Pelodiscus sinensis: one gene and its partners. The protein of the gene in region 4 purifies or fractionates together with the protein of the main gene of each other region. This does not show direct contact. Links are inferred from orthologs where the notes say so. Each region holds a gene or a part of one and is shown on either strand. Other genes may lie near its edges.

The links.
Region 1: the proteins of E2F1 (region 4) and KAT2A purify together in Homo sapiens (affinity purification with western blotting; 4 studies listed by BioGRID and IntAct, with this or other methods). This does not show direct contact. The link is inferred for Pelodiscus sinensis from reciprocal best matches to the Homo sapiens genes E2F1 and KAT2A.
Region 2: the proteins of E2F1 (region 4) and TRRAP purify together in Homo sapiens (affinity purification with western blotting; 3 studies listed by BioGRID and IntAct, with this or other methods). This does not show direct contact. The link is inferred for Pelodiscus sinensis from reciprocal best matches to the Homo sapiens genes E2F1 and TRRAP.
Region 3: the proteins of E2F1 (region 4) and KAT2B purify together in Homo sapiens (affinity purification with western blotting; 5 studies listed by BioGRID and IntAct, with this or other methods). This does not show direct contact. The link is inferred for Pelodiscus sinensis from reciprocal best matches to the Homo sapiens genes E2F1 and KAT2B.

What each region holds. Positions count from the first base shown.
Region 1 is NC_134739.1:9,356,836-9,364,190, forward strand, and holds the start of KAT2A (histone acetyltransferase KAT2A), read left to right. Parts: upstream 1-4,340; 5' UTR 4,341-4,374; coding exon 4,375-4,596; intron 4,597-7,355. UniProt on the Homo sapiens protein: Protein lysine acyltransferase that can act as a acetyltransferase, glutaryltransferase, succinyltransferase or malonyltransferase, depending on the context.
Region 2 is NC_134726.1:24,279,304-24,286,821, forward strand, and holds the start of TRRAP (transformation/transcription domain-associated protein), read left to right. Parts: upstream 1-4,515; 5' UTR 4,516-4,663; intron 4,664-5,150; 5' UTR 5,151-5,247; intron 5,248-6,154; 5' UTR 6,155-6,210; coding exon 6,211-6,310; intron 6,311-6,673; coding exon 6,674-6,723; intron 6,724-7,518. Other genes in the region: TMEM130 (transmembrane protein 130), read right to left, coding at 2,594-2,675. UniProt on the Homo sapiens protein: Adapter protein, which is found in various multiprotein chromatin complexes with histone acetyltransferase activity (HAT), which gives a specific tag for epigenetic transcription activation.
Region 3 is NC_134712.1:191,345,476-191,352,937, forward strand, and holds the start of KAT2B (histone acetyltransferase KAT2B), read right to left. Parts: upstream 3,009-7,462; 5' UTR 2,994-3,008; coding exon 2,843-2,993; intron 2,550-2,842; exon of another isoform or gene 2,416-2,549; intron 512-2,415; exon of another isoform or gene 358-511; intron 238-357; exon of another isoform or gene 223-237; coding exon of another isoform or gene 84-222; intron 81-83; exon of another isoform or gene 66-80; coding exon of another isoform or gene 20-65; intron 1-19. UniProt on the Homo sapiens protein: Functions as a histone acetyltransferase (HAT) to promote transcriptional activation. Has significant histone acetyltransferase activity with core histones (H3 and H4), and also with nucleosome core particles.
Region 4 is NC_134728.1:34,324,846-34,332,405, reverse strand, and holds the start of E2F1 (transcription factor E2F1), read left to right. Parts: upstream 1-4,547; 5' UTR 4,548-4,741; coding exon 4,742-4,969; intron 4,970-7,560. UniProt on the Homo sapiens protein: Transcription activator that binds DNA cooperatively with DP proteins through the E2 recognition site, 5'-TTTC[CG]CGC-3' found in the promoter region of a number of genes whose products are involved in cell cycle regulation or in DNA replication.

The DNA of each region.
Region 1 (7,355 bases), on a different chromosome or scaffold from region 4:
GGGTCATGGGCTGACACAGCGGAATCCATGGATTTCAACAGAGAAAAGGATGATAAAAGGCGGGTGCTTTGCTATGGAACTTTGGGTTCGTCTTGCCACCAACTCCAGAGGAGCATCGGCTCCATCGACCAACAAAGGCCCTGCTCTCCCTCTGTGTTCAATCTAGCTGGCCACTAGACTGATACAGAATCGGGACTGGTAACTATAACACCGTCTGGCAAGACTGTGTGTATGTTTGTATGTGAGTGATTGAAAAGCATATGCAGCTGTTGTATTCTCAATAAACGCGGCGTACTGCCTTGTCCCCGATAAAAGATCTCGTGTGCTTCGTTAAGCAGACAACACAAGTGTCCCCCTCTCCCTGTTGGCTCCGGGCTGTGCTGCTGGGTGACGATTCTCTCTACGTCTCTCTGGTTTGTGTTGCTCCTGGAATAAACCTGTTCTCCCCCAGGTCCATTGGCAGTGCACTTTCTAGAAACCTTTTTTGGGCTCTAACAGACTCTACAGTGGGTGATGTGACTCTGCTTCAGTGCAGGCTCTAGTTCAGTGTTTCTCAAACTTTTTTTTATAAAGTACCCCTTTTTAAAAAAGTATTATAAGTACCCGCAGGACCTACGGTTTTCAGACACACTATTTTTTTCTATCATTGCAACACATTTGTTTAAACAACTTAATCGTAGCCAGGCGGGTGATGAAATTTTTGGGTGTAAAAAGTACAAAAATAAGAAAGCGCTGTAAAACTTACAACAACAAATCAGTTTTCTCCAAATTTCAGTTGTGTGGACATACCCCCCAGCTTCTCTCAAGTACCCCTAAGGGTACTCGTACCTCTGGTTGAGAAACGCTGGTGTAGTTCAGAGAAAACAGGAGACCTGCAGGGATCGCGAGGCCCTGGAAAACAGTCCTGGGTGTTTGGTTGGGTGAGGATGGGAGTGAAATAGCATCAGGGCCCTGTGCAGTTTCAGGCTGGGAAATGTTGAGCAGGTGGTGGGAACAGTGTAACAAAGGGGAACTAGGGAGGAAGGGATTAAAAAGAGGCGTCAGAAAGATTTTCCTGATGCCTAATCTTTGAGCAGAGGTGGTGGTAGAATTCCCAGCTGGATGTTGCAGTAGGAAGCCAGTCTCCTCTGCCGCTAACATTTTTACATCAAAAACTAAGAATGGGACACGTCCAGCCCTCTTCATTAGCCTCATTAGCACCGGCGCTACAATTGACAGGTACTTTCTCCTAGCCCTTGTTATAAATCTCTTGGTTCTGTTATTTCCACTCCGGCTCGTCTGAGGAAGTGGGTTTTACCCGCGAAAGCTCGTGGTACGACATGTTGTTAGTCCCTAAGGTGCCACAGGACGGCTAGTTGTTTTAAAAGTGGCAGACTAAGATGGTTCCCGCTCTAAGACCTGTCTGATCTGTTTTTGAAAACCTCCCCACACTTCTCAGGGATGGTCTGGATTTATTTGGTCCTGCCTCGGCGTGGGGGGCTGGGCCAGATGTCACCAATGAGACCCTTGCCAGCCTACCTTTTCGGAGTCTGTCGGGGGGGTGGGCGTGGCTACACGGCTAGAAAGCTGCTCTGCAGGTCAGTGGATTTGTAAGGTAGCTGGGAGGGCTGAGCAGAGAGAGGGTTCGTACAGCCCCCAGCCTAACAATGAGTCCTTGGCAGACAGACCCTTTCCCACAGCCTTGGTGCCAGCCTGTTAGTCACAGGGTTGTCAGCTCTCCTCACCTTACCAGCTGTGGCCCTGTGACGACGCGTTGGGGCTCCCGTCTCCTGCACCCCGAAATGGCACGAACAGGCTCCACCAGCCGGTAGAACAGAGGTGGTTTATTGCTTCTCCAGGATACAGCACAGCACAGATGTCATCAGGTTACAGGGCAGGCCTAGGATGCCTCAGCCCCCCCTTGATATGGGAGGGGGTCTCGGCTTCTAAACCCCCCAGCCTGTTGCTGAGGCTGCCTCCTCCATGCTCCCAGCCAGAAACTAACTCACTCTCCTCCAGCCTTGCCCCCCAGCCAGGGCAGCATCCACCTTCCTTAGTTCCTCTCCATGGGGGGTGGCTGGTCAGACAGGTTGACACACCCTTTGCATAATGACTCATCCTGTTTTGCTGGGCCGTGGTACCAACTGCAGCCAATGGGGGTTCCCCCAGAGCCAGCAGCGTAGAAACCAGCCAGGTACCCCCACTACGTCACAGGCCCCAACCCCAGAGTTTTCCTGAAAGGCCCAGTGCCTGCGTGACGCCAGCAAGCTCAGTGCAGTATTGTATCTCTAGCCCCTAGTGTTCCCAAGGCCAGCTGGACCCCTGCTGCACCCCAAAGCGGTCCTGGATGGAGACTCATGTGAAGCCCTGCCCTGCTTCCAGTGACTCCACTGGTGTGTGCACCTTTGGGTGGGGGCTGCGGCACTTGGCTTCACTCTGGGATGTGGGGCTGGGGGCATGGGTGAAGGCCCAGCTGGGGAAGGCAGCCGAAGCCCCGCCCCTTCATCCCGAAGCCACACCTTTTGCTCCCAGTCCATGCCCCGTCAACAACCTTCCCACCCAGCCAAACTCCGCCCCAGTTGAGAGCCAGAGCTACTGTGTGGCATGGCCTCAGCTCTCCCCAGCCACGGGCGAGCTGGGCTGCTGCACTACACGGCCCTGGTCCCTCCCAGGTGGCTGGGCATTGTAAACAGTTTTGGGAAGGCAATGCCTTTCCTTGCCTACACTACCTGCCACCCATATGGGGGGCGCTCCAGCCATACTGTCTATTAGAGGGGTTATTCCTTCACCCTTCCACTTCCCTGAACCTTCTCATGTGAACAGAGAACAGCAATACTCAAAGCCCGGAGATGCAAACAATTTCATGTTTATTGGGGTTCGCTTCCAGCAAGCACGAATCCAGTTTCCTTTCCTTTTCCCCCCTTCTTCCTTTGTTTTTTCCCTCTTACTTCCTGTTTGTCCCCACTGCACATAATAATATTTTCAGGTATACTTTACCCAATCATTCTACTGATAGATAACAAATCAATCTTAACTTATTGTAACATGATTTTCTCACCAATTATCTCACCGCCGTAATTGTTTTATACCCAGCAAAGTTAATTATACAGCAGACAAAAGCAATCAAACAACCAGACAGAGACCATCCGGATAAATGATAGAGAGAGGGGGATTTCACAACCCCAACTATTGATAAGTGGATCCTTGCTGGTCAGAAAGCTATCAACCTAAGTTTCCTTTAAATCTTCTTTGCACTTTCCTTTATCTGGAGATGATCGTTGGACGGCCTTTCTAACAGCACAGAATTGCCTTATTTCAATGTGATTTGTTTGGGTGGATCAAGATGTGACTGCACATTTCCTAGTTTATGGATTCTCCTGCTGCTTAGCCAAAAGCCTTAGCTTAAGAACAAGGCCTGGACAGTCTCATATTTGCGGCCGCTGTCTGGTAAAAAAAGGAGAAAATATCAGACACGTAAAATGTCCGGTATTTTCTGTTTTTCTCAGATGGCAGGCTGCTTAGGACATTCCTCCCCTGCTGCGTCTGGCGGGGGCGGAGGGAGCGGCGAGCGAGGGAATTTAAAACCCTAGCACCTCTTTTTTTGGTGCGTTTTTTGTTTTTGGGGGTTTTATTGCTCAACAACTTTGGTCTCCTGGTTTTTTTTGTTTTGTTTTTGTTTTTGCTCAACCACATTTTTTTCCCCTGCCATGTTCAGTATTTTTCTGACAGTAGCTGGCATCCCTAGTTGGGTTGTCAGATGGTTTAAACAAAAATACTACACCACAATCTACATTACATCATTTAGAAAATAAAAAACCAGACACTTGGCAACCCTAAATCCTAGTAACAGACCAGCCTGAATAGCTATATCCTAATACTCCAACTTTTTTTTTAGGGGGGGTGGAGGTCGGAATGGGGTTATTCCGGAAACCACATAGGACATATGGTGACACACTTCCTGATGGGGTCAGAGCAGGAAGCTAGGGCTCCCCCCCGCACCCTCCTGGGAGGTCTGCACCCCACATGGTGGGAACCTCCAGTCCTCCCTCTTCCCACGTTATTGGGGGGTTCGCACAGTTGGGGGGGTTGGTAAAATGAGTTTACTCTGTATAAGCCCCTGCAGTGTGGGGGGTATACTCTGTGGAAGAGGTGATTTACCCCACAAGGGGGTGCTCTGTTGGGGTCCCCCAAGAGGGCTAGCCCTCACTAACACCTGGCAGGCTAAACTAGTCGGGGACTACATCTCCCAGCAGCCCCGCGCGGCGCAGGCGCACTGGCGGCCTGGGCTACGGCCTCGCCCGGAGCAGGGGAAGCTCCGGCCAAGGGACTACGTCTCCCAGCAGACCCCGCGCCGCGCAGGCGCAGTGGCGGCCTGGCGCACGCCGCGGTCCCGGCATGGCGGAGCCGGAGGCCTCGCAGCCCGGCCGGACGCCGCCGCCGCCCCCCCCCGGCCGCCTCCGGGGCCGGGCCGGGCCCCACAGGGGGCCCCGCGGGCTCCAGCGACCCGGCGCGGCCCGGCCTGAGCCAGCAGCAGCGCGCGAGCCAGCGCAAGGCCCAAGTGCGGGGCTTCCCCGCGCCAAGAAGCTGGAGAAGCTGGGAGTGTTCTCGGCGTGCAAGGTGCGGGGGGGGGAGTGTTCTCGGCGTGCAAGGTGCGGGGGGGGGAGTGTTCTCGGCGTGCAAGGTGCGGGGGGGGGAGTGTTCTCGGCGTGCAAGGTGCGGGGGGGGGAGTGTTCTCGGCGTGCAAGGTGCGGGGGGGGGAGTGTTCTCGGCGTGCAAGGTGCGGGGGGGGGAGTGTTCTCGGCGTGCAAGGTGCGGGGGGGGGAGTGTTCTCGGCGTGCAAGGTGCGGGGGGGGAGTGTTCTCGGCGTGCAAGGTGCGGGGGGGGGGGAGTGTTCTCGGCGTGCAAGGTGCGGGGGGGGGAGCGTTCTCGGCGTGCAAGGTGCGGGGGGGGGAGCGTTCTCGGCGTGCAAGGTGCGGGGGGGGGAGCGTTCTCGGCGTGCAAGGTGCGGGGGGGGGGAGCGTTCTCGGCGTGCAAGGTGCGGGGGGGGGAGTGTTCTCGGCGTGCAAGGTGCGGGGGGGGAGTGTTCTCGGCGTGCAAGGTGCGGGGGGGGGAGTGTTCTCGGCGTGCAAGGTGCGGGGGGGGGAGTGTTCTCGGCGTGCAAGGTGCGGGGGGGGGAGTGTTCTCGGCGTGCAAGGTGCGGGGGGGGAGCGTTCTCGGCGTGCAAGGTGCGGGGGGGGGAGCGTTCTCGGCGTGCAAGGTGCGGGGGGGGGGAGTGTTCTCGGCGTGCAAGGTGCGGGGGGGGGAGTGTTCTCGGCGTGCAAGGTGCGGGGGGGGAGAGTTCTCGGCGTGCAAGGTGCGGGGGGGGAGCGTTCTCGGCGTGCAAGGTGCGGGGGGGGGAGCGTTCTCGGCGTGCAAGGTGCGGGGGGGGGGAGCGTTCTCGGCGTGCAAGGTGCGGGGGGGGGAGCGTTCTCGGCGTGCAAGGTGCGGGGGGGGGAGCGTTCTCGGCGTGCAAGGTGCGGGGGGGGGAGCGTTCTCGGCGTGCAAGGTGCGGGGGGGGAGCGTTCTCGGCGTGCAAGGTGCGGGGGGGGAGCGTTCTCGGCGTGCAAGGTGCGGGGGGGGAGCGTTCTCGGCGTGCAAGGTGCGGGGGGGGAGCGTTCTCGGCGTGCAAGGTGCGGGGGGGGGAGCGTTCTCGGCGTGCAAGGTGCGGGGGGGGGAGCGTTCTCGGCGTGCAAGGTGCGGGGGGGGAGCGTTCTCGGCGTGCAAGGTGCGGGGGGGGGAGCGTTCTCGGCGTGCAAGGTGCGGGGGGGGGAGCGTTCTCGGCGTGCAAGGTGCGGGGGGGGAGCGTTCTCGGCGTGCAAGGTGCGGGGGGGGGAGCGTTCTCGGCGTGCAAGGTGCGGGGGGGGAGCGTTCTCGGCGTGCAAGGTGCGGGGGGGGGAGCGTTCTCGGCGTGCAAGGTGCGGGGGGGGAGCGTTCTCGGCGTGCAAGGTGCGGGGGGGGGAGTGTTCTCGGCGTGCAAGGTGCGGGGGGGGGGAGTGTTCTCGGCGTGCAAGGTGCGGGGGGGGGAGTGTTCTCGGCGTGCAAGGTGCGGGGGGGGAGTGTTCTCGGCGTGCAAGGTGCGGGGGGGGGGAGCGTTCTCGGCGTGCAAGGTGCGGGGGGGGGAGCGTTCTCGGCGTGCAAGGTGCGGGGGGGGGGAGCGTTCTCGGCGTGCAAGGTGCGGGGGGGGGAGCGTTCTCGGCGTGCAAGGTGCGGGGGGGGGAGCGTTCTCGGCGTGCAAGGTGCGGGGGGGGAGCGTTCTCGGCGTGCAAGGTGCGGGGGGGGAGCGTTCTCGGCGTGCAAGGTGCGGGGGGGGAGCGTTCTCGGCGTGCAAGGTGCGGGGGGGGAGCGTTCTCGGCGTGCAAGGTGCGGGGGGGGGGAGCGTTCTCGGCGTGCAAGGTGCGGGGGGGGGAGTGTTCTCGGCGTGCAAGGTGCGGGGGGGGAGTGTTCTCGGCGTGCAAGGTGCGGGGGGGGAGTGTTCTCGGCGTGCAAGGTGCGGGGGGGGAGCGTTCTCGGCGTGCAAGGTGCGGGGGGGGGAGCGTTCTCGGCGTGCAAGGTGCGGGGGGGGGAGCGTTCTCGGCGTGCAAGGTGCGGGGGGGGGAGCGTTCTCGGCGTGCAAGGTGCGGGGGGGGAGCGTTCTCGGCGTGCAAGGTGCGGGGGGGGGAGCGTTCTCGGCGTGCAAGGTGCGGGGGGGGGAGCGTTCTCGGCGTGCAAGGTGCGGGGGGGGGGGAGTGTTCTCGGCGTGCAAGGTGCGGGGGGGGGGAGTGTTCTCGGCGTGCAAGGTGCGGGGGGGGAGTGTTCTCGGCGTGCAAGGTGCGGGGGGGGTGTTCTCGGCGTGCAAGGTGCGGGGGGGGAGTGTTCTCGGCGTGCAAGGTGCGGGGGGGGGGAGTGTTCTCGGCGTGCAAGGTGCGGGGGGGGAGCGTTCTCGGCGTGCAAGGTGCGGGGGGGGAGAGTTCTCGGCGTGCAAGGTGCGGGGGGGGAGAGTTCTCGGCGTGCAAGGTGCGGGGGGGGAGCGTTCTCGGCGTGCAAGGTGCGGGGGGGGGAGCGTTCTCGGCGTGCAAGGTGCGGGGGGGGAGCGTTCTCGGCGTGCAAGGTGCGGGGGGGGAGCGTTCTCGGCGTGCAAGGTGCGGGGGGGGAGCGTTCTCGGCGTGCAAGGTGCGGGGGGGGAGCGTTCTCGGCGTGCAAGGTGCGGGGGGGGAGCGTTCTCGGCGTGCAAGGTGCGGGGGGGGAGCGTTCTCGGCGTGCAAGGTGCGGGGGGGGAGCGTTCTCGGCGTGCAAGGTGCGGGGGGGGGAGCGTTCTCGGCGTGCAAGGTGCGGGGGGGGGAGCGTTCTCGGCGTGCAAG
Region 2 (7,518 bases), on a different chromosome or scaffold from region 4:
ATGGAAATCGGTGTGATGGTTTGGGCTTGGCAAGTCATGTCAGAGTCAGTCGTTCATTTGAAACAAGACCAGTTTTACTTTAAACCTACAAAAACAACAAGCATTCTTCCTCTGGCTTTTTCAGCACAATCCAGAAACTGAAGCTCACAAGTTGAATGGACAAGCCAACTCTCACAAGTTTATCATGAGAAACGTGATTTCTAAAGAAAAATAGGTCTTGCCCATGATCTTGTGATTGAACTCTCAAATCTCAGGATTTTTTTCTGCCCGGGCTGGGTGATCTCCTGCTGTCAGCCGCTGGCGGCTGAGAAGTCCATTGTTAGCTGTAGGTGGTAGTTCCCATGGCAGCCTGCGAAGTGGGTGAGGGGACCAACTGCTATCCCTCCCACCCCAAAGCATGGGGAGAGTGAAAAGATGCAGAGATGAGACTAGAGGGACTGAACTATGCCAGAAGGGTGCAGGGGGGGCGGTGAAGTGAGGAGCGTGAGGGCTGATGGGGTAGAGGGCCCATACTGATGGTGAGTTCTGAGCAGATGGATGAGTGCTGGGAGGATGGACTGATTGTGGTGGGGTTGATGGGGGAGGGTGGCTGAACTGTTGATGTGGTGATGATGGGGGGCTGGGGAAGTGAACTGAGTGGGTCTGAACTGAGGGCACTGGATGGGGAGAGAACTGACGGGGAACTGGGGAACAGGAATAATTGCTGGGCAGGTGGTGGGCAGATGTGGGGTTGAGAGCTCCTGCAGCAGGAGTCAAAATAATCGTATACAACGCAAGTTGGAGAGAGGGCAACACTAATTGTTACATGCTACCCCCTTGGGAGGGCAGAGGGAATTCAAACATTAAGAGACTGAATTAAAAAACAATATAATCTTTTTTTAAGTCATGATTTTTGGGCCAATCTCATGATTTTTAGGGGTCCAACTCATGATTTTAGATCTCTTGAAGTTGACAATACTGTACAAGTTAATACCATATTACTTTGCTCAGGGAATCCCTTTATTCACTTTTCCTGTTAGGGTCAGGCTTTTGTAGCCATACCTCCATTTCAAGTCACTCCTGCTTCATTTAAAACAAAAACCAAAACCAAAAAGACCACAACTTCAGTGCAGAGAAAACATTTTGGGTGAGCAGTTCTGATGCATGTCTGCAGAGCTCAAATTTTAAATAGAGTCATTGCTGGCTACATTTTTCCTTTAATCAATGTTTTTCTTAGCACAATTTTGGACTGAAGATTAGTGTCCAAAACTAATTACAGATTTCATTCCTGTATTTCCTTATTAAACCCAAGAAAAAAAATTTCCTTTAGCCTTATGTGTAACAAAGTTAACATACTTTGTTTTATGGTTCTCCACTAACCTTTTCTTTTTCTACTTCTCTCAACCTGGGTAAGAACCAGTCTCCGACCCCAATTTAAAGGAAACATTTATATCCTAAATTGCGGTGTGGTTGAAAGTTGGTCCTGCTGCACTGAAGGCCAATGAGAAAAAGGAGGGAAAATCCAAAAAATTGTGCACTGGCAGGGAGTAGTAGGTGGTGCAAAACTAGAAAGACTGAAATTCCTGCTGAAGGTGACCTTTTAAAAATCTGCACTTAGTTCACTGTCCATTTTGCTACAGCAAAAATTGGGGAAAATACCAGAAATCAGTGGCAGATCTAAAAAAGACACTGGGGAGGGGACATATTGAATAAGATAACGGAGTGGGAAGGAGATTAAGTGGCTAGCTCAAGGTCACACAATATATCAGTGGCAGAATGAAGTATTTAACCCAGCTCTCCTGGCTCACTTTTCAGATGCAACACAGCAAAGCTAGGAAGGAGCAAGAGGAGGGGCAAGCTGTCTTAGTCATTTGTGACTAACAGCAGTGAGGGAGCAGAGATGCTTCACTGCATCCCAATCAAGATGGAAATAAAGAAGGGAGCTGATAGATTCAGTCTTGTCTGAGATCCCTTCCTTCCAGAGTTGCTAACTAAGCCTCACCATGAAGAGGCAGTTCCCACATCATCTGATCGAGGTTTGTGGGTGGAAAAGGGCAGACATAGCTGCACCACCCCCCTTTTGTTCTGCCAGAGAACTTACTCATTATTGCTAGCTTCTCACGGGAAGATGTCCCTTTGGGGTGCAGCTCCTTCACACCTGCTCCAGTTATTCAAGCAGGATCCTGAATACACAATCCACCCCAGAACAAGAAAACAAAGTCTTCCTTATAAATAACCAATGTTCAAGCTAGGAGGTTTAACTATACCCCTTCGTTTCAGAGCAGGGTTTTATCACTCTCCACAGAAACCTAGCACTGCAGAAATTAGCAGCAGGCAAAAAGATCTCTCATTTAATCTGTTCCCTTCTCTCTCTCTCTCTCTCTCTCTCTATATATATATATAGGAGAAATATGACACTGCAAACCTTGCTGAAAATGCAGATAGAGTATTTTATTTTCAGGAAAACCATAGAAATGCTCAGTTGGTTTTGGGCTTGCCTGGAAATAAATATTCATTCTGTGTTTACAGCAGCATAAGATTGCTTTTTAGGGCTGAATTCTAATGACCCCTGGCTCATTAGCCCTGGATTGAGAAAGGCGCAGATCTACCTTACCTGCCGCTGACTTGGAATGGAAAAGGAACAGCACCATGCAAGTCACTTGGAGGATGCTCGGGGTGAAAAAAGCCAGGGCCATTTGTAGTCAGTGCCCCGAGAAAACTGCTACTGTCTGTTCAGCTCCGATAGCCAGACTTCATCTTCCAAGTGGGCTCCACTCTGTCTCCAGGACCGGGAGGAGGTGGGTAGCAAGTAGTCACTACTGCTGTCACCTAGAGGCAATGTGGATGTACTGCACTGTCTGGGTTTTTTTTCTTGCTTTTTTTTCCTGGCAAATCCTGCCCACGCCTAACTAGTTTAGAAAAGTTGTATTAGACACCTGTATAAACCAATGGATTAGAAAAGGAGGCAGAGAAAATCCCTATGGGGGTGCTAGTGAAAAGCTCCTACAGCTGCAAAAATTTTGAAAACAGTTTTCTGGTACAAGGTAATAGAATAAATGTATTTTGGTATGCGTGGCCATGTGTATCTTGCAGATTTTTGTATAAAACACCACGTTAAAAGTTACAACAGACTGATTTCTGTAGGGCTTAATATTCCATTAGAAAATAGGTGACGTAGTCTGCCCAAATCCTGTATCATATTCCTGATGGTTAAGAAAAATGCTGCCTTAAAAATCTTTCTAAAACAGATGAGTAATGAATTTGAGTCATACACTCATAACACAGTGCAAACCAATAACATTTAAGACCCCAATCTTGAAAACTTGTAAGTCTCTGGATGCAATTAGACTCATACAATAGACTGGAACTACTCCCATGCAGAGATACAAACACCTAGGTTTTGGCCTTATTTTGCATGAGATCCTTCATACAAACTAGATGACACTAGGATTTTGGAGAATCATGGCAGGCTGGGTGGATTAGCTGCTTTTAATAAAAATATTTTATTGTACAATAGTATAGTACAAAGCATAGATTGAGAGAGATGGGTACAGCACAAAATATGAAATAGCTACTTTATTATTAACTAATTGCTCCTTGCAGTATACCTTGCTAAGTTGGATGACACTTCTATAGTTTGTCATGCAAATAAAGTTTCTGAACTTGACTGCTATCCAGGAATACTTCTTCCACAACCCATCTTCCAACGTTTATACTTTATTCCCTTCTATTTTCTGTTCTACACCCGGCTTATTAATCAAAAGCCACTGAACCAGTAGAGCTGTCTTTCAAAACAAATTAGGGAGAATTTTGTTGTTGTTGCTTTCATTAAAATCCAGCTGTTGGGTCCAGTACAGGTCTATGGAAGAATATATACTGATATCTCAGTCTGTGGATCTTCACCCAAAGAGCGGGGTAAAAATGATGATACACAGTACAGGCCAACAGGGTATTCCAGGAGTTGACTTTCTGTATCCCGTGTTCTTGCTTCATTCAGCTGTCCCCGTCTCCTCCCTGCTCCTGTTTCTAGTGGGAAAAGCTGTGTGTGTCCGATCTGTTGAGGCATCTTTGGTCTCGGCATTGAGAGCCAAGCGCGTGTGGCTGTGAAGCCTCCGCTCTAGCACACAGCCCGGGGAGCCTGTCGCTTTCACAGCAGGGCGGATGCTCCGCGCTGGGAGCCGCTCTGCCCGGGAGCTCCCGCGGGGCCCGCTACAGGGCGCTGCCCGGGCCCGCTGCAAGGGCCGAGGGTAAAGGCTGGTGCGGGGCTAATGGACAAGCCAGGCCGGGTCTGGGCGCTCTGCCTGCGGCGCTAGCTGCTGGGCTGCCCGGCCGCGCCCCCCGCTTTGCGGCCGGAAGGGATCCCCGAGCCCGGTTCTCGCGTGTGGTGCGGAGGGTTCGCAGCGCGCCCAGCCGGGGCCCCCCTCAGACCGTGACCGGCGCGCTGTTGGGAGGGGGAGGGGCCACCCACGCGCGCGGACTAGGGGCCGAGCGGGGGGATGCTGGCGGGGCGGGGATGCGCGTGCGGGGGCGGGGAATGAAGCCGTTCGCAGGCAGCGGCGGCGGCCGGAACTGAACCCCGGCGGCTTCCGTCGTGCGTTGGGGGCCCATGCGCCGCGCCCGGCTGCGGGCTCAGGCCGGAGGGCGACAAAGGAGGGGCTCTCGAGCGAGGAGGCCGCGCAGGGAGGTAAAGCCCGGGGCGGACTGCGGGGCAGAGACCGGACTCGGCGGTGGGGGGAGCTCGGGGACTAGGCCGCGGGTCGGGGTGTGTGTCTGCAGGGGCCGCGCAGGCAAGTCCCGCAGAGGCCCTGTCGGGGGCTGCCCTACAGCGGGGTGCGCGTGTGTGTGTGGGGGAGCCCTGCCCTAGAGTGAGCTGGGCGCCCTAGACCTGGTAGTGGGCGCTGGGGGAGACTGCCCTGCTGGTGATGGGCAGGAGTCTGGCGTTGGAGTATCGGGATGGGGATGAGGGAAAGGATGTGAGGGGTGGGGAGGCTTAGCTTGTGGGGCTTAGGGATCTAAGGCTGGAGGGTCAGGAGATCTGATCTGAAAGGTTGGGGAGAGGGCACAGATGCCAAGGGCTTTGACCTCAGAGCAAACCCGGGTTGGTAGAGGGAGATGCAATATCACCTTTATGCCCATCTTTAAGATCCATAACTGGTTTCACACAATTACAGAGCAAGAGCACTAGCTGGAATGGGGTCAGCATAGATGGAGTCCAGTCAAAGAGAAAGTGGCACCCTCAATCAGGAGAGAGCCACCAAGACAGAGAAGGTAAGGATAGAGAGGAGCTGAGACTTCAAGGTTGTATTTCCAGTGCTGTCATGAGCTGCCTTCCTGTTTAGGCTAATCACAAAACCTCAGTGCTCCCTTAGCTGTAAACGAGGTAGTTCTGTAATCACAAAAATGTCAAAAAACTCCTGTAAAGTTCTGTGACATTTTTGCGATTACAGAACTACCCATTTTACAGCTAAGGAAGCACTGAGGAACAGAGAGGTTTTGTGATTAGCCTAAACAATCAGTATTTGCATAGAGATTAAGAAAGATGTAGTTAAAAATGCAGTGTATTTCTATTGAAACATAGATTGATTTGAAAGCTAAATCAAATTAAGATGTTGGATATGATAGAAAATAAACATGGATTGTGAAATGAGGTCAGCAGTAAAGGTCTGTAACACAATGAAAACTAAAACCAACTGAGACGCTACTGCTTTGAAGTTCTTTTTACATATTAGGAACTCAGATCATGTTTGTGGAAAAACTTGATTGAGGTACCCTGAAACCTTGTTGAGAGGTACTTAAAAGGACATTATCAATTTGAAATCTAGTCAAGTTAAAATATGTTGTTACACTTTTTATGTTGTGTATCTTCTTCTGACTTCCCTATGCCAGTTTGTGTGCCTTTATCACTGTATTTTCCTAACCCTTAAACTGTTATTCTCCCCTGTTGCCATTTGATAGACCCATACAAAGAAAATGGAAAACTCAGTATGCAAATCTGTAAAAGATGAAGTAACCTTTTTTTCTCTTATTTCAGTTAATTAGAATATAAGTTGCAATTGTATGTAAATAAATATGACAAATATGACTTTTAAATTGATGGTGCCCCTTTAAAATAAGATGTCACAGGACTAAATCACCAATAAGCTGTCATATTTACAATGTTTTTTTATTTTTGTAGGTGGGCTGATTTTTTTCAGTTTTTTTTAATATACTCAAGTCTGGTCCAAAACAAAAATGGCCTTTGTTTCAACGCAAGGGCCCACCGTGGTTGACCAAACCACTTTGATGAAGAAATACCTCCAGTTTGTGGCTGCTCTAACAGATGTTAATACTCGTAAGTTTATTTTCCATTTCTTAAGGAAATGTGATTCTTTACTCATTTGCTTCAGGGAGTTCTGTAATATTGTCTACAGAGTTGGTTGGTAAATTTGAATGGAGTTCACTTTGCATTTTCTTTATCTTTGATTGTTTGAAGAAGCAAAATGATGAGCATTACTTACATGAGCCTTAGAGTGAAGTGTGTGAGTATGAAATGTGAGTATGAAAGTGTGTGATTGTGAGAAATGTGTGATTTATAACTGGGCAATGATAGCTAAACTGATAAGATCTGATTGCTTCTTTTACCTGTGAATGTTTGGTATTTGTCAGGTTTTTGTCACATATATTTAATTTTTCACTCAAATTTGTGAATTTTCAGCCGATGAAACAAAATTGAAAATGATGCAAGAAGTCAGTGAGAATTTTGAGGTAATTGCAAAATTAATGTATTTCTTGAATGATCTAAATGCCACATTTCTTGTTCTTGGTGTGTATGTCATCTGGATTTCTGATCCTGTTTTTATTGTTTAAAAAGGAAATACCGGTTTTCTTTGTTAAACACAGAACCAAAGAGTAATGGCTATTAAAAGTTAAAACATATACTAATTATTAAGTTTAGAGTGCATTACAATCCACTTGCAGAATTATTAGAGGTCCGTAGCTTGTAGCCTCCAGGTTTTTTTCTCAAATATTTGTTTGAACAGAAAATCTTTGTTTAGTACATTTTGAATAAAGAAACTAATCAAATGTGTTTACTGCATAACCTTGATACATTTGTCTGTGGAATTGTTTCTCTAATGGAGTTCAGATGCACATTTAGCTCTCCAAGAAGTGGTTTGCTTGCTTTTTTTGTATTGAGTAATGCAACAGTTGAGAGGTGAGAAGGAGGAATTGTCAAGTGTGGATTCCTTCCTTGAGGACTGCAGTGAAGTGAAGGTGATAGCACTGACCCTTTTTCAGTTCAGCTGATCAGGGGAAAATAGCTTAGGTTCATTTGGGATGCTTAAGAATACCACGTAGAAATACTAGATTTGCCATTTGTTGCTCAAGAAATGGCACCATTATACAATATTATGCTAAAATCTGAATGGAATCCCCTGTTTTTATGTGTTGCTTTTATTTAGAAGTACTGAATTCTAGGTACTTTAGCCGAATAGAATTTAATCTGGAATACTTGGGCAAGTATATCCACATTAATAAAAAATGTCACATGATATTTAATGA
Region 3 (7,462 bases), on a different chromosome or scaffold from region 4:
AATGAAATCACCTCTTAACCTTTTCTAAATAGATGGAGCTCCTTAGGTCTGTCACTATAAGGCATGCTTTCTAAATGTGTAACCTTTCTTGTGGGTCTTCTTTACCAACATCCTCCTCGAACTGTGAACAGCAGAGCACTGGGAGCTCATGTTCAGATGATTATTCACTATGGCACCCACATCATTTTCAGAGTCACCATTTCCTGGAATAGAATTCCCCATTATATAATTCTGGCATTCTTTGTGCAGAGAAATATGGCCTTTCTAATAACTTTGTCTCTCCCTTTCCTGCCACTACTGTTCTGTGAAAAGCTCACTGTTAGATGGTAGCATTGTTACAGCTCATGTCTTCTTCACCTGCTACTGCTCTGAATAGTTCATTGTCAGGTAGGCCTCTTAAGGGTCCTGCATCATGTAGGACATCTCACTTCTCAGCACTTTTCCTGACCCCATCTCAACTGGCTAGTTGTCTTCACAGAAGTTTTTCTTTCTTAACTTCTCCCAGCATATACTACCACCAGGGCAGCTGCATGAGTGCTAGTGATGGTGGGAGAGCTAGAATAGCCTGGCCACTAGCATCTTATCATTGTGACATCATGAGCGTCCAGTATTATAAGCGGGAGAAGACTCTGCTTTCCCAAATGGCCAACCTGTCCCCCCCCACAGTCCCCCCCAGAATACCTGCTATAGGCGTATTGGGGGCAGAGTGTTACTGCCCCCAGCACCCACCCTCCCAGTGCTCCTGACCTGGGATGCTGGAGCCACTCCACCCACTCTTCTCCCACTCCATGCTCAAGTGTCAGGGAGGTTAGAGACATGCACCCTTCTCCCTCCCTGTGCTTGGGGGCTGGGAAGACTGAACCCACACATCCTCCTCCCTCCCCTGTGCTCCAGGCCGGGGAGGCTGCGGCATGTGCGCCCAGACACCCTCTTCCCCTCCCCATAGTGAGGGTCGGAGAGATGGTTTGGCTCCCATGAGTGGAGAGGGGCTCAGCTGAAGGGGTGGGATTGGGGGCTGGAGCTGGAGGCTTACCTCCCCCAGCCTTATCTTCACTGACCACTCATGTGTGATATCTAGATTTCTTCTGACCCAAATCAAGATTAAAATGCAGTAGCTGGACTGTTCTAGTGCTTTTCTATTGCTGCCAGCATTGGAACTGCACTGTTGGTTTTACGGTACTGCAAGAGAAAGTAAAATGCTTAGGTAGGCACAGCCACTGACTTCCATCCAATGCATGTAGCTACACTATGAAAACATGTATGCTTTGTTCTGCAACTGTCCAGGAAAGGGATTAGAGCTTTTCCTATTGTGGTCACCTCATACCTATGGTGGAAGCCATTCTGAATTGCTTCAGTATCTGTGGATCAAATTAACACCACTTCAGCCTGCACTAGTGTAAACAAAGCAGTGCAAGCTGTAATAGTGCAGTACATACAAATGAGGCATTCTGTTTTGGGGAGCACAGAGTGCACCATGTCCAGGGCATAGCTGTTACTTCAAGGATTACAGCAGGGGTTCTCAAACTTGTGATATCGCGACCCCCCTCTCCGTTGCTGCAACCAGCCTCTCAGTTGCTTGCGATCCCCCTCTAAGTTGCTTGCAACCCCCAGGGGGTCAGGACCCACAGTTTGAGAAATGCTGGATCACAGGGTTTTATGCACATCCATATTTGCAAAAATGAGCCATGGATAAATGCATCCACATCCACAGTTGTGGATATCTGTGGATATAAAGTAGATATCCATGGATTTGCAGGGCTTTACTTACTGATGCTTAGAGGAGGAGCTGTACCTGTGATGCTGCAAATATTAGCTCCCACTGGCAGCACTTGTGTGGCTGCAAGCCGTGTGACAGGCAAGCTAGAGGGTTGTAATGGTCCTGGGAGTATCAACATTCTGTAGTACAAATAATTCCCTTTCAAGTCACCTCCAGCCTGTCCTTGTATTACATGTGGAGAGAATAGAGTACCCCTCAGAAGGAGAGGAGACCTGACAGTGATGTGATAGCACCAGTAGCATGGCCACACTGCTGGCACATGGAAGAGGAGGAGCCAGGAGGGAAGGGACAGGGAAGAGCAAACTTTGGGAAGAAGTGTGAGACAGAGAAGGAAGGGACAATTGAGAGAGACAGGAGGAGGGGAGAGGAGGGAAGCAGATGAAAAACAATGGGGGTGAGGAAGAGGAGGATGATCCTTGTTCAAGGAGAATTTGCCACAGTGTAGCCTTGGCAGGATACAAAATATGTTGTTGGGTGATATTATGATGACATTTTCAGGGAGACTGTGACCTCAGAGATACATCATCTTCTTCTCTTCCTCCTCCAGTATGTGCTAGACAGCAAAGGTACGTCAGCCAACCACCTTTCCTGCAGTCATCCTATTCTTATTTGTAATAAAGATTACTTTGTAGTGCCCACAACCATAAACAGAGTTTCAGAGCAAGCTCAGGAAAGAAGGGCCTGTGCCCCAAACAGTTTACAGTTGAAGTGACTGCGATGACAGGTAAGGGAGGAAGGAGCACATCCTGGAGAAAGGAGAGGAATGACACAGGTAAGGAAATATGCTCATACGGCTCTTCCATTTGTATTCTGCATTCTTAATAGTTACACAAAGATAACATTTGTAGCTTTTAGTTTTCATTACAAATCAGAGATTTGATCCTCAGTTTAATTAGTGGCATGTACACAACTTAGAAAATATGTGATTCATGCGTCTCCTTGCTCAACCATATAGCCAAATGGTAGCAATAGCAGATAAAGCAGGGCTGGGCAAATACTGGCCCGCAGGACAGATCCAGTCTACCAGGATTAGCCCCTTGCAGGCCCCCTCACTGCCATATTTACCTGCACCTCCGCAGGTACAGGCGATCACAGCTCCTGTTGGCTGCGGATCACTGTTCACGGCCCAGGAGAGCTGTGATCTCTCCGACCTAAGGAGGAGGGGCAGGTAAATATAGCGGCAGCGGCCCCCCAGGGGATAGCCCATGTGAACCATCACCGTTTTATTGCCCACCCCTGAGATAAAGATTAACTATATGCTTTACCAGTATTGACCAGCTCTAAGAGTAACAGCAGTAAAACAATACCCAGAACTAATATGTTTACTGAGACTGTGGTGAATTGTGCAATATTAGCCTGTGGCTTCAGGCCCACAATCCTATGGTCTGGCAGCTTGCAACACTTACATGTTTAAGTAGCTTTGCTCATATAAGTAGTCTGTCAGAAGCCAAATAGTCTACATTTTATAGTAGTAATCCACTGGTCCTCAAACATAAACTGCTTAGCAAATATATTGTTTCTGCCCCTTTGCTTCTCTTTAATAATGACGTGACATTTTTCCTCACATTTTAAAGTGTTGTTTTTCTCTGCTTTATTTTTATATTTAAACATATCAGCAATATCAGGTCTTTTCTTCAAAGCCCTGGTGTTGCATAGAAATATCACAGTAGGCAGGAATCTTAAGTTTTCTCATTGCTTTCCCACTCAATTTAGGGCTTAGAAAGCTGTAACACAGTTTCAATATACTGTGACCTCACTATTTCTCTGCATTTCTTCAGCCCTCCTGAAGAAATAGGGAAGTCAAGACCTGATATTTCTGATGTAGAAAAAACAAACAGGAAAAACATGAGTTAATCTTCAAATATGAATAAAGACAATAGGACACTCACCATGGACATGAAAACACACTTATTCTGTTATGAAAGTGTTCACATGAGGATTTATACCAATATAATGATACTTGTTTAATCATATCAGTATAATTAGTACAATTTTCCTATGTAAGTGTATCCATCAGTGGGAAAACAAGGATTTAAGTACATTGATTTAAAATCTGATTTTAGTTTAACCAGAATGTTATTGTGCATAACCAAGACTGTAAAACATGTTACCCCCTATTTAGCTTGGAAATTCCCCCCATTTACATCAGGCCTTTTTGATATCACCAACTCTTTTGATCGGTCAGTTCAAAATATGCAGGCTGCAACAGAAGCATGCAGAGAGCCCCCTAATCACAGAATCTGAACAATACCCAGAACTTTTTTTTTTTCATATGTGCATAATATCAACCTCCAAAAGGGTTTCAGTAGTAGGTTCAAATCTGGGTCCTCTGAAGCTTTTAAATGCACTAGCATGTTAGCTTTTACTGCATGAGCTGAACAACACTTTGTTTTAGCGCAAGCCAGTGATTCTCAACCCATTTACCATTGTACGCCACCCACGGCATGTCTACATTGGGGAGTTACAGTAAACTTCCGATAATCCGGCACCTTTAGGACCCAGGGGGTGCCGGATTATCAGATTTGCCGGACTATCGGAAGGGGGGGGCTATGAGGGGGTCTAGGGTGGTGTGGGGGGAATGCCACCCCAGACCTCTCATAGCCCCCCCTTCCGATAGTCCGGCTCTGCCCCCGGCGTCCCTGATTCAGCCGCTGCTGGTCAGTTTCAGCAGCAGCTGAATTGGGACGCCTGCGGCAGAGCAGCTGGGGTGCTGCCAGGTTGGTCCCGCAGCGCCAAGTGGCGGCGCTACTGGACCAACCCGGCAGCACCCCAGCTGCTCTGTCCCAGGCGTCCCCAAATCAGCTGCTGCTGAAATTGATCAGCGGCAGACTCCAGGGCTTCCGGGAGACAGCCGCTGGTCGGTTTCAGCAGCAGCTGAATCGGGGACAGCTGGGGTGCTGCCGGGTTGGTCCTGCAGCACCGAGGAGCAGCGCTACAGGACCAACCGGCAGCATTCCAGCTGCTCTGCCCCCAGCTTCCCCGATTCAGCCGCTGGTCAGTTTCAGTAGTGGCTGAATCAGAGAAGCCGGGGGCAGAGCAGCTCCAATGGTCCGGCTGCCCGGAGCACTTCCGGGTTCCTGATGGTGCCGGACCATCAGGAGTGCTGGACCAATGGAGTTTTACTGTATTTTGAAACCACTCCCCTTATTCCAAACTAATAAGGCGAGCATCCACACTACCAAACCCATTATTTCAAAATAATGGGCTTTTTATTTCAAAATAATAACTCCTGCTTGTGAATAGGAATAAGCTTATTTTGAAATAGTTATTTCGGGAGTTTTTATTTTAAAATAACCTGATAGTGAGGACATAGCCCTAGGTAGCTCTCTACCTGTTATGTGAGCCACATCCAAACTCTCTCTCTCTCTATATATATATATATATATACACACACACACGTACACTATCTGTATGGCCCTGAGCATGTCACATGGTCCAAGCTGTGGGCTGTTTGTGCCACAGGGCTGAGAACCACTGGCCAAGGCTGTAGTGGGCTCATGAATCTTTATGACAGGGCTACTCAACTTTGGAAGCCCCAGGGGACACAAAGATACAGCACATGCTGAGGGCTGCAATTTAAGTGTGGTTGCATTTGCATGCAAATATATATGCAAATAATTTTTTTCACACTGACAGGCTTGAATACAAAGATTAAGCCTTAAGTTGCAGCACTGAACCCAAACATAGCTAGTATGAGCCAGTCAGCACCTCTCAGGCTCTGCCCACAAGGCTAAGCAGCCAGCACCTACAATGTCCCAGTGCTCCCAGCACCTCCTCCCTGAGGGCTAGAACCGCCAATACCCTGTATTGTTCCAGCCAGCCCATCTGCTTGCATTTTTCAAGCTCACCCTGCCTGGGAGACGCCTCACTGTTGTGCTGCATGTTCCCAGTGGAGGCCATGTTCAAAGAATCCCACCTGCAGGCCACGTGTTGAGTACCCCTGCTTTATGGGCCTACTCACCACCAGAGAGGGACAGAGCACCACTTCCAGCAAGCAGGGGTTACATGGACATTTATTTCCACTGTATAGAGAAGCTTTCTGTACATATTTCAGTGAGGCACAATCTCCCTCATACAAATCGTTCCTGCAGCCTGAGAGCAAAAGCTACTGGTCTGTTAGTCTGCAGAGGGAGAATACACATTATGATGTTAGAAAAATATTAAGTGTTTGCCAATATTGTAGCAGATGTTACTGATCACAGATCGGGGTGTCCACATATAACTTTTAAAATGATTTTTCCTGCCTCAATTTAATCAGAGGCAGAGGCATCTTAAACATATTGGAGGGTTTCTGTCAGGTGGTGCAACTCCCCCAGTGGGGACACTGCCATTTAGCGCTCCCAGTGCTTGCTACCTCCAGTGGCCACTATGACTATAGCGTCCATCTGAATAGCCCCTCCCTTTCCATTCCCTGCATATCTGGTTTTCCTGGCACAACCAAACCCTGACTGTGCTTTAGGTTAGGAGAAGAGGAAGCCATATACCAAATTTGGTGTTCCTAGCTCTTACCATTTAGGAGGAGTTCTTGAAAAAACAGATAGAGATGCAGAGACAAACTGTCTCCAATATATAGTATATAAGTATTCATACATACGCAGCACGTATGTGTATTTACTAGATACAATGCTACATGCTATAGTTAGCTGTGCTATACACAGCACTTCTCAGTTATTATACTGTACCTATCAGGACTGTATCTGAGGACCAACATACACAAGAATCTATTTATCTAGAGAGGCAATGCTAGACAAGATGTGTTTTTTATACGTCACATTACAGTAATGTAAGCACAGGAGGGAGTTTAACTGTTTTGTAAAACCATCTGCATGATTTCTTAGTCATTACACATTATAAGCAGAGCTGGTTGTGCCACCTATAGATAAGGTTGTTTGTCACTTTCCATTATAAAATTTTGTTTTCACTTATAATTTTGCCAAGCTTTAGCTGTTTGAGTGGATTTTTTCCACACTTCAGGCTGATTTAATTTAATTTAATTTTGTGTTTGTTTCCAAGAATAAGATTTGTTTCATCCATTAAACAAATTCGTATGTGTTTTATTCAAACACTCCTGCACCCTCGTGCTTTGAAGCAGCTTTGAAATTTTCTGGGAAAGTCACCCTGGTGTGAGATGTGTGCCTTTAGCCTTTCTTATCAAATCTGCCCAAACCTGTCAAGCTATACGCCTCTGAAAAATCTCAGTTCACACATGCTCAGTAGAGACTTTATTAGTGATTGACAACTAAATTCCCTGACAATTCCATCAACGCTGAACATGCTATATCCTGGAGCTGCATTGATTGAACAAAACTTTCCCTCTCTGCAACTGCTGATCCAGTAGGTTCAGGTCTTAAATCTAAGAACAGGGAGACTCTCTCCCTCTCTTCTCTGATTTCAATGTCCCCCTTCTGGTTCACAGGCAGCATGGAGGAATGAAGAAAGGACAAGAGCTGGACCTCCCCAAGCAGGGGAAAGAGTAGATTAAAACAAGGACTGGCTGGGTAAGGAGACTCTGACTGGTAGTGTGAGGAGACTGCGGTTATATGAGGTAGAAATTGGGACTGGCTGGGCAAGGAGACATGGAGCCAATGTGGGGAAAGACTAAGACTCTACAGCCAGGTGGGAACTGGAACAAATTGCCTCAATAGGAAACTGGGAGACAGGGTTGGAGAAAGATTGGAACTGGGA
Region 4 (7,560 bases):
CTTCTGCTACCTCCTCCTCAGAGACCTGATTCCACTGCTTAGCAGACCTCATGCTGAGAGAGGTTTTCTTAGTCTTCAGTTTGGCCTTCAACACTAGAGTATATAAACATCTCCCAAGGATTTAAATAGAAGTAATCTCCTTCCTTATTGTCTTCCTTCCTTCTTGGCCTGCAGAAGCAGCTTGACTAATGGGTAGGCTTGTCAATGTGTGGAAGGCTTATTAAGGAATCATCACCGCCCAGGAAAGATCACATTTAGTCCTGAAAGCGGTGAGGCCCAGGGCATGAAGTTCCCAGTCCAGCTCCTGTCAATGTCCTGGCCCCTTCACTCATAAGCTTCCACTTCTTGCTTACCAGTGCCCTGCAGCTGTTGAAGAACAGGCTGATCATAAAGGGAGAGGTGCCTCTCTGGTAGGTAGGGCCAGTCTCATGGAGGGCTTGGAATATCAGAGCACAGACTGTTCATGGGGCAGCCAGTGCAGAGAATAGACCATTGGGGAGTTCTGACATCTACGGGCCCATGTTGCTGCATTTTCTGAAAGCTGAAGCTATCCCTGGCTCTGCCAGTTCATTCCTAGATATGATGAGTTGCAGTTACTGAGCCTGGAGGTCAGGATCATGTGGCTCTATGGCCACGTTTGCAGGGTAAGATTCAGGTTGTGAGGGGCCTAAGATTAAGGGGAGCGAAGGGCCTAAGTATGAATTACAAATTGAAAAAAATAGTGAGAGGTCCTGTGGCACCTGGGGACTAATCAAAATATACAGAATCCTGAGCTTTTGTGGGCAAAACCCACTTCATCCAATGAATTGGAGTGGAAATAGCAGAAACCAAGAAGTATATATTACAGCAGAAGAAGTATCTGTAACTTGTAGGACCCGTGTTAATGAGGCTAACTAAGTGGGCTGGATGTGTCCCATTAATAGCTTTTGATGTGAAAATGCCCACATATCACAGCCGGCTACGAAGTGAATTTAAAATCCCTGAGAGAAACATTGTGTGTTGAGCTTTCTCCAAGGATTTTGCAACCCCCTTAACAGCAAAAGTTGTGTTCCCCTGTGGAACTAGGCAGAGCAAAAGGGAAGAATTGGATTTCCTGTGCATGCCAGTACAGAAAACATACATCAAAGAAAAACAATTGGATTATTTTTTTAGCACAGTTCAATACAGTATTGAAAACAGTGCATCATAAATCTGAAACTCCTTGGTGAAAGGCTGCTGTAAAAGTCAGAGCGCTGGTATCCAGAGTGGGAGGGTTGGTTTTTCTCAGTGGGTGGGAATTCGTTCATTATACATGGGATGAGGGCAGGGGCCATAGTTCAGGTTGGAGCTGGATGGAGTGTCTATAGATTCTGTGCAAGATTCCCACTGCATTGGTACTGCCTTTTCCTTGTGCCCTGCTCCTCCCCACCTGCCACCTCTAGGCACTCACCAGTTGCCCAGAAATGGAGCTAGCACTAGGACCAGGAGAGAGCGTCCTGAAGCTGTACTTGCCTGCCAGTCTCAGCGGGGAGGGACACAGGCCTAAACTGGGTAGTCTTGCCCTCTCTTCTTCCCTCCTGCTCCCCCCCAACAGCCCAGCAGAGCTCTGGAGAAATGGAAGATGGGGAAACAGGGAGGGGAGAGACAGTGCCTGCTCAAACTACACCCACAGCAGGCACAGGTTCCCATAGTAACCAGACCACGTTTTTAATCTCCGTTTACCACTGTTAACCTGTCCTGCAGCAGCATGGGGACAGACAGAGCCTCCAGGGAACCCGGGAAGCAAGGGACCGTTGCCAGCAGCCGGCTGAGCTCCTGCTAAGCTCCAGGTGCTGCTTTACTTTTCCTGCTGGCAGGAGTGCTCCCAGGCTCCAGCAGGACTACCTGAGCAAACTTACTCCACCTCTCTCTCCTGCCCTGGCCCTGCCCCCTGTGTGGCCTGGAGGGCCTAACGCTATAGCCTTATCAGCCTAATGGTTAACCTGGCCTTGCAAGTTTGTATCCCACAGGGCAGTGGTCTCCAACCTTTTTAAGCACAAGATCACTTTTTGAATTTGTCAGTACAGGATCTACCTCAAACCCAAATAGCCCTGCCCTGCCCCTTCTCTGAGGCCTCGTCCTCTTCACTCTGTGAAGATGGGGTACAGGAGAGGGGGGCGGAGTAACATAAGTGCCCCCTGCCTCTGTCTCCCCCACCCTGCACAACAAGTAGACTCCTAGGGAGTGGCTCCGAGGCTCTTGGCAGGAGCAGCAGGGCAGTGAGAGGAGGAGCAGCTGACATGCAGGCACTTGACAGCCTCCCAGCCAAACCAGTCAGGATCCCCTGTCAGAGGCTCCAAGATCTACTGGTAGATCTTGATTGACTGGCTGGTGACCAATGCCGTATGGTGTGGCATTGTTTTGTGACTAGGCACAGAGGGAAGCAAGTTTTGCCACCAAGCCACTTTGACATCCAGTAGTACTGTGAAGTCTGAAAGGCCCCAGTGGCTGAAGGCAGATGTAATCGGAGGGCAGGTGATCATGTTTTAAAGGGAGATGTTAGAGGAGTTAAATTCTTCAAAGCACTCTGCATGTCCTACCAACATGATTTCCATCCTGCCTGGGGTCAGCACTAGCCAGTCTCTCTATCCAGGAGCCGACCTTGGCTAGGCAGTGGGGAAGTTGCAAGATGGTGCTGTTCGATGTGAGAGGCAGAGATGGGTATCATCTGTGGGTTGCTGGCATACGATAAAGTGGCACTGAAGGCTTTGGAAGTGGAGAAGCAGCTGCTTGTGCCACACTGGGTTTGTTCTGTGGGAAGATCATGAGCTGTGTCGTGGCATTGCCATGCAATCCTACAGCTTCTTGGAGTGAGCTGCAGAAGTGTTTGGTCAGCATCAAATTCCAGCAGGCCGAAGATGGAGATAATCCTTTGTCTATGGACAGGAGGAAACCATCCACCAGAGCCACAAGAGTGTATGGGCAACATGGTCTGTCCCGGAGGGGAATCCAGCATACTGGCAGCCAACACTGAGCAATTCCTCTTCAGCCCTGTCCTGAAGCCAGATGTATTGATCAAACAGGCTCGGGTTTGGGTGGCTTTCCTTTCAAAGATTTTTACAGTCTGCCCCAAAAGGCAGCTTTATGGAGAGCCCCTAGTAGCATTAGCACGGTCAAGTTTCAGATCCAGCCTTCACAGCTGCTGCAGCTCTACTATTGGCAGCAGTGGTGAGAGCTACAAGGTAGATAGGGGGGCAGGAAGTTTTATCATCTAGCTCTCCAGTTTCTCCCAAGGGTGGACAAGGCCTGGAAGGTTGGCCTCAGCCCAGATATCAAAGGAAGAAACTGATTCTGAGGTAGATTGATTTTTATTACAATTAAAAACTCAACCCTCTGCTAAACCGAATTACTGAAAAGCAATAGAGGTATAATGAAAAACTTTGAAAAGCATGTGACTTGCAACCAGTTCTATCCATGCACCTGTAATGCTGCTCCTTGTCCACAGGTATGTGGGGGGGGGGGGGCAGATGTATCCCTATGTGCCCACACATATTTTTGAAGTTCTGTATTTTTTTACCCTCAGTTTCTATTATTGAACAGACTTTCATGGAGATTATAGCTAAATTGCTGGCATACCATCCCTGAGTGGAGACCTCTAACCTAATCTAGCCGAAGCCTGAAGAACACACTGTGTAGAATGTAATTAGAGTTCGGAACTTGGAGAGTGGGTGTGAAATGTGGGGGCAAGAATAGCAAATTGAACTTTGAGAACGAGGACTCCCCTGAGAGGGAGCGGATCTGGATCAGTACCTACCCCCTCGGGAGGTATCCATGTGTTACATACAGTGTTATATAGTTGTACTATGTAGCTATTACTCATGGATACCTCCCGAGGGGGCAGGTACTGATCCAGATCCGCTCCCTCTCAGGAGTGTCCTGGTTCAGATCCGGGCCCCCTACAAGGAAGGGGAAAGGAGAAGGGTGTCTGCCCCCTGCAAGCCGGGCAGGGTGTTTCTGTCCGCGGACACCCCCTCCCCAAACAGCGGGAGTGAGGGGAGCAGAGTCTGCCGGGCCTGGTGCCGGGGACCCAGCGAGCAGAGCGGCGGGGCGGGGCGGGGGCTGCCAGATGGTTTCAACAAGCACACGGGGCACACGTGCCATGACGTCACAATCGACATCCCCTCTGAGTTGGAACACACCGGAGCGTTCTATTGTCTGTCCCCGGCCGCGCGCCGGACACCTGGCAACCGCTGTGCCCGCGGGAAGGGGCGGGGCGGCCGCGCCGTGGGAACAGATGGGAGACGGGCGAGGCGACCAGCCCCCGCACCTGCCCTGGCCGCGGCGTCCCCCAGCTGCGCGCTGATTGGCCGCCCCCCCGCCGGCGCAGCCGCTGCGATTGGCCGGCTGTCAGAACGCTGGGCTCGTCACCGCGGCGCCTCGCGGCCGTCCGGGCCGTAGCCAATGGCAAGGCGGAGCGGCGCCCCCCGCCCGGCGCGGCGGCCAATGGCGAGGCCGCTCCCCGCCGGCGTGTGGCGGACGCAGCCAATGGGAGCGCGGACGCGGCGCTCCGGCGGCTTTCGCGGCAAAAAGGATTTGGCGCGCAAAGGCGCGCGGGGCCGGCAGCGGCGGGGACAATAGCCGGGCCGGGCCGAGCCACCGAGCGGCGAGCGGCGGCCCCGGGCAGGGGCGGAGGCTGCGGAGCGCGGCCCGGCCCCCCCGAGCATGGGGCGCGGCCCCGGGCCAGGCCCCCCCGGGCCGGCGCCGGGCCGGTGAGCGCCCCGCCATGTCTCGGGAGGGGCCGGGCGGCGGCGCCCGCGTGTCCGAGCTGGCGGCGCTGCTGGGGGGCGCCGGGGCCCTGCACGCGATGGAGCAGCAGATCGTGATCATCTCCACGCCGGACGCGCCGCCCCCGCCCGAAGCGGAGCGCGAGGCCGAGCTGCTGCTCTTCGCCACCCCGCAGCCCCCCCGCCCGGGCCCGGCGGCGCAGCGGCCCGCGCTGGGGCGCCCTCCGGTAACGCCGCTCGGCCGCGGGGCGCTCCCGCCTCGCTGCGGGGGGGACGAGGGGGGAGAGGGAGTCGCCCCCCCCCCCGGGGTCATGGGCTCCAGCCTCACGAGCGTCCCGCGCCCTGGGCTCGCTGACGGGCCACCTGTAGCCGGGGGGGGCAGCCCTGTCTGGTGCCAGATAAGGCTGGGAGCTGCCCGTGCGGTGGCTGCAGCTCTCCGGCTTCCGGCTTCCCGCGATAAAGCTCCCAAGCGAGGGAGGAACCGGTAGTAATGTGCGAGCCAGGCCTGGCGAGAGCCAGGCTGCCATTAGCGTGTGCAGAGCAGAGCTCTCTGCCTTCCTGGCTCAGCATTTCTGCTCCCAGCTCTTCACCAGGAGACATGGGCTCATAGGGGACCTGTGAATTCTGGCTTTGAGATCTCCGCTCTCGCATCACACACAGGAGTGACCTGCCCTGCTTCAGTGGAGAGGAATGGGGATTGGGCATAAAATATGCAAATACATTAATAATAGAGGGGGAGACATACACCAGTCATCACAATGTCTGAAAATTGTACTTCAGAGCCAAATCCACTGTGTGGATTGTGTCTCTAGACACACTTCTCAGATTATTCTCAGGTCTCAGTGTGTTGTGATGATACTTTAATGACTGTGGCAGCAATCTGCAGGATAAAGTTAGTCTTGTGAAATTCTGCTTGTCCGCGATGGGAGGGCGTGTGTATACATGCTCAGGCATGTAACTAGAGCCCTGCGCAGATACAAAATTTTGTATCTGCATCTATAGATGCAAAAATATGCTGAGGTTATCTGCATCCACATCCACAGCTATCTGTAAATTTGCAAGATTCTAGATACGGAATCTTCAAGAATGGGCCGTGGACATCAGCATTCACATCCACGGATGCAAATACCTGTGGGTATAAAGTGGGTATCTATGGATTTCCAGGGCCCTACTTGTAACTTCTAAATAATTGTTAGGATAAACTCTGGAGCAGGTGTTGTCTTCTAGTGCATCTGCATGAGAGGGCTTTCATTGTGATTGGCACCTCTGGATGCTATTGTAGTATAACAAATACTGACTGCTGTGAAGTATGGAGGGCTGACCTTTGCATCCATGCAGACACCCATTGTGTTCAGTGGGGCTCCTGGCAAGAATCTGCCCTTGTAGTTCTTGGTGCAAAATCAGGGTCCCACAAGGCAAGGCTGAACCGGAGCCTTCCTTTCTTTTGGTTTCCCGAATTTGTTTTCGACACATACGCACGGGTCAGACCAAAGATCCATCTAGCCCGGTACTCTGCCTTCCGACAGTGGCCAGTGCCAGGTACCCTAGAGGGAGTGAAGAGAAACAGGTAATCATCACGTGATCCCTCCCCTGTCATCCATCTCCAGCCTCTGGCAAAGGCTGGATAAATACGTAAATAACTACCACCGGCAATTAGACTGAAGCGAAGTGACAAGGGCTTGCATTTCTCCTTCATCATGGCACAAACAGAACACTGTATGGGATCCTTCTTGTGCACTTGGAGATTATTTTGAGCCATCATTTGGCATTGGCCATGGTCAGTGAATGGATCCTGGGCATAATGGGCCATTGTCCCAGTATAACATCCCCAAGCTTTTAGTTCAGTCGAAAGTGGGTGGGGGGAGGAGGAAAAGACCACAACATGCTTTGATAGTTAAACATACCATCTTCCAGAGGCTTGGAGTTTGAGGGGCCGGCGGCAGCTTTACAGCTGATCCTTTGTTTTAATTGTTTGGCTCAAGAATCCATAATGAGCCAAAATTCCCTGTTTGCTGTCTCCCTGCTTGTGGGGAGTGGGTGGTTGTGCTGGAGGCGCTGCTGGTTTGCATGGTTGGAGTGCGGTTTCATGGAGACGCTTTGCTGGTGAAACCCTGAAACCTGAGCTGCTTTTCTCCTAACTGTAATCAGCAGCCTGGTACCCATGGGCAGCTCTGCACCTGCACCTCTGGCAGGGCTGCAGCCTGATGTTTGTGGGCAGTGAAACTCTAAACACCCTAGTGTGCATGAGCAAAGAAAGGGGGCAGAATTATTGTTCTGAGGTCCCCTGGGTGCTTTTCAGCAGTGCACTGGAATTTAGATAGCTGATGGTCAGCTGTCTAGGGCAGTGTGAGCAATAGCTCACTTGCTCCACGATCACTCAAGGTGAGATACTTCCCTCCAGATACATGTCACTGGGCCTTGGGGCGGGCGGGAGGGAGGTCTCGAATTCATCTGTTTCTGTGCTGTCAGACGGTTTCCTTCTAGTAATAAAATAGGCCCCAATGACCGAGTCTCCGCCTCCTTCCCAAATGTCTCCTTCATGAGCCAGATCCTCTTGTACTAGAGGCAGGGTAGTAACCATGCACAAAGTCTTGAAGTTCTCTTGTCCCTGTGGTCCCAGGCAGATAGCTGGAATGCTGGTCTGAGCTGGCACCAATGGGTGATCAAGTCAGGCACTCCACTTGGGGTTATCCTGGAAGGTTCTGATCGCCGGTTGGTGCGTAGCTTGGATCTTTGTGAGCATGTGAGCGGCATTGTGACGGCTCGTTCTTACGAGTGCTGCTTGTGTGAAGCAAGTGGGTGAAGTCTCCCATCCCTG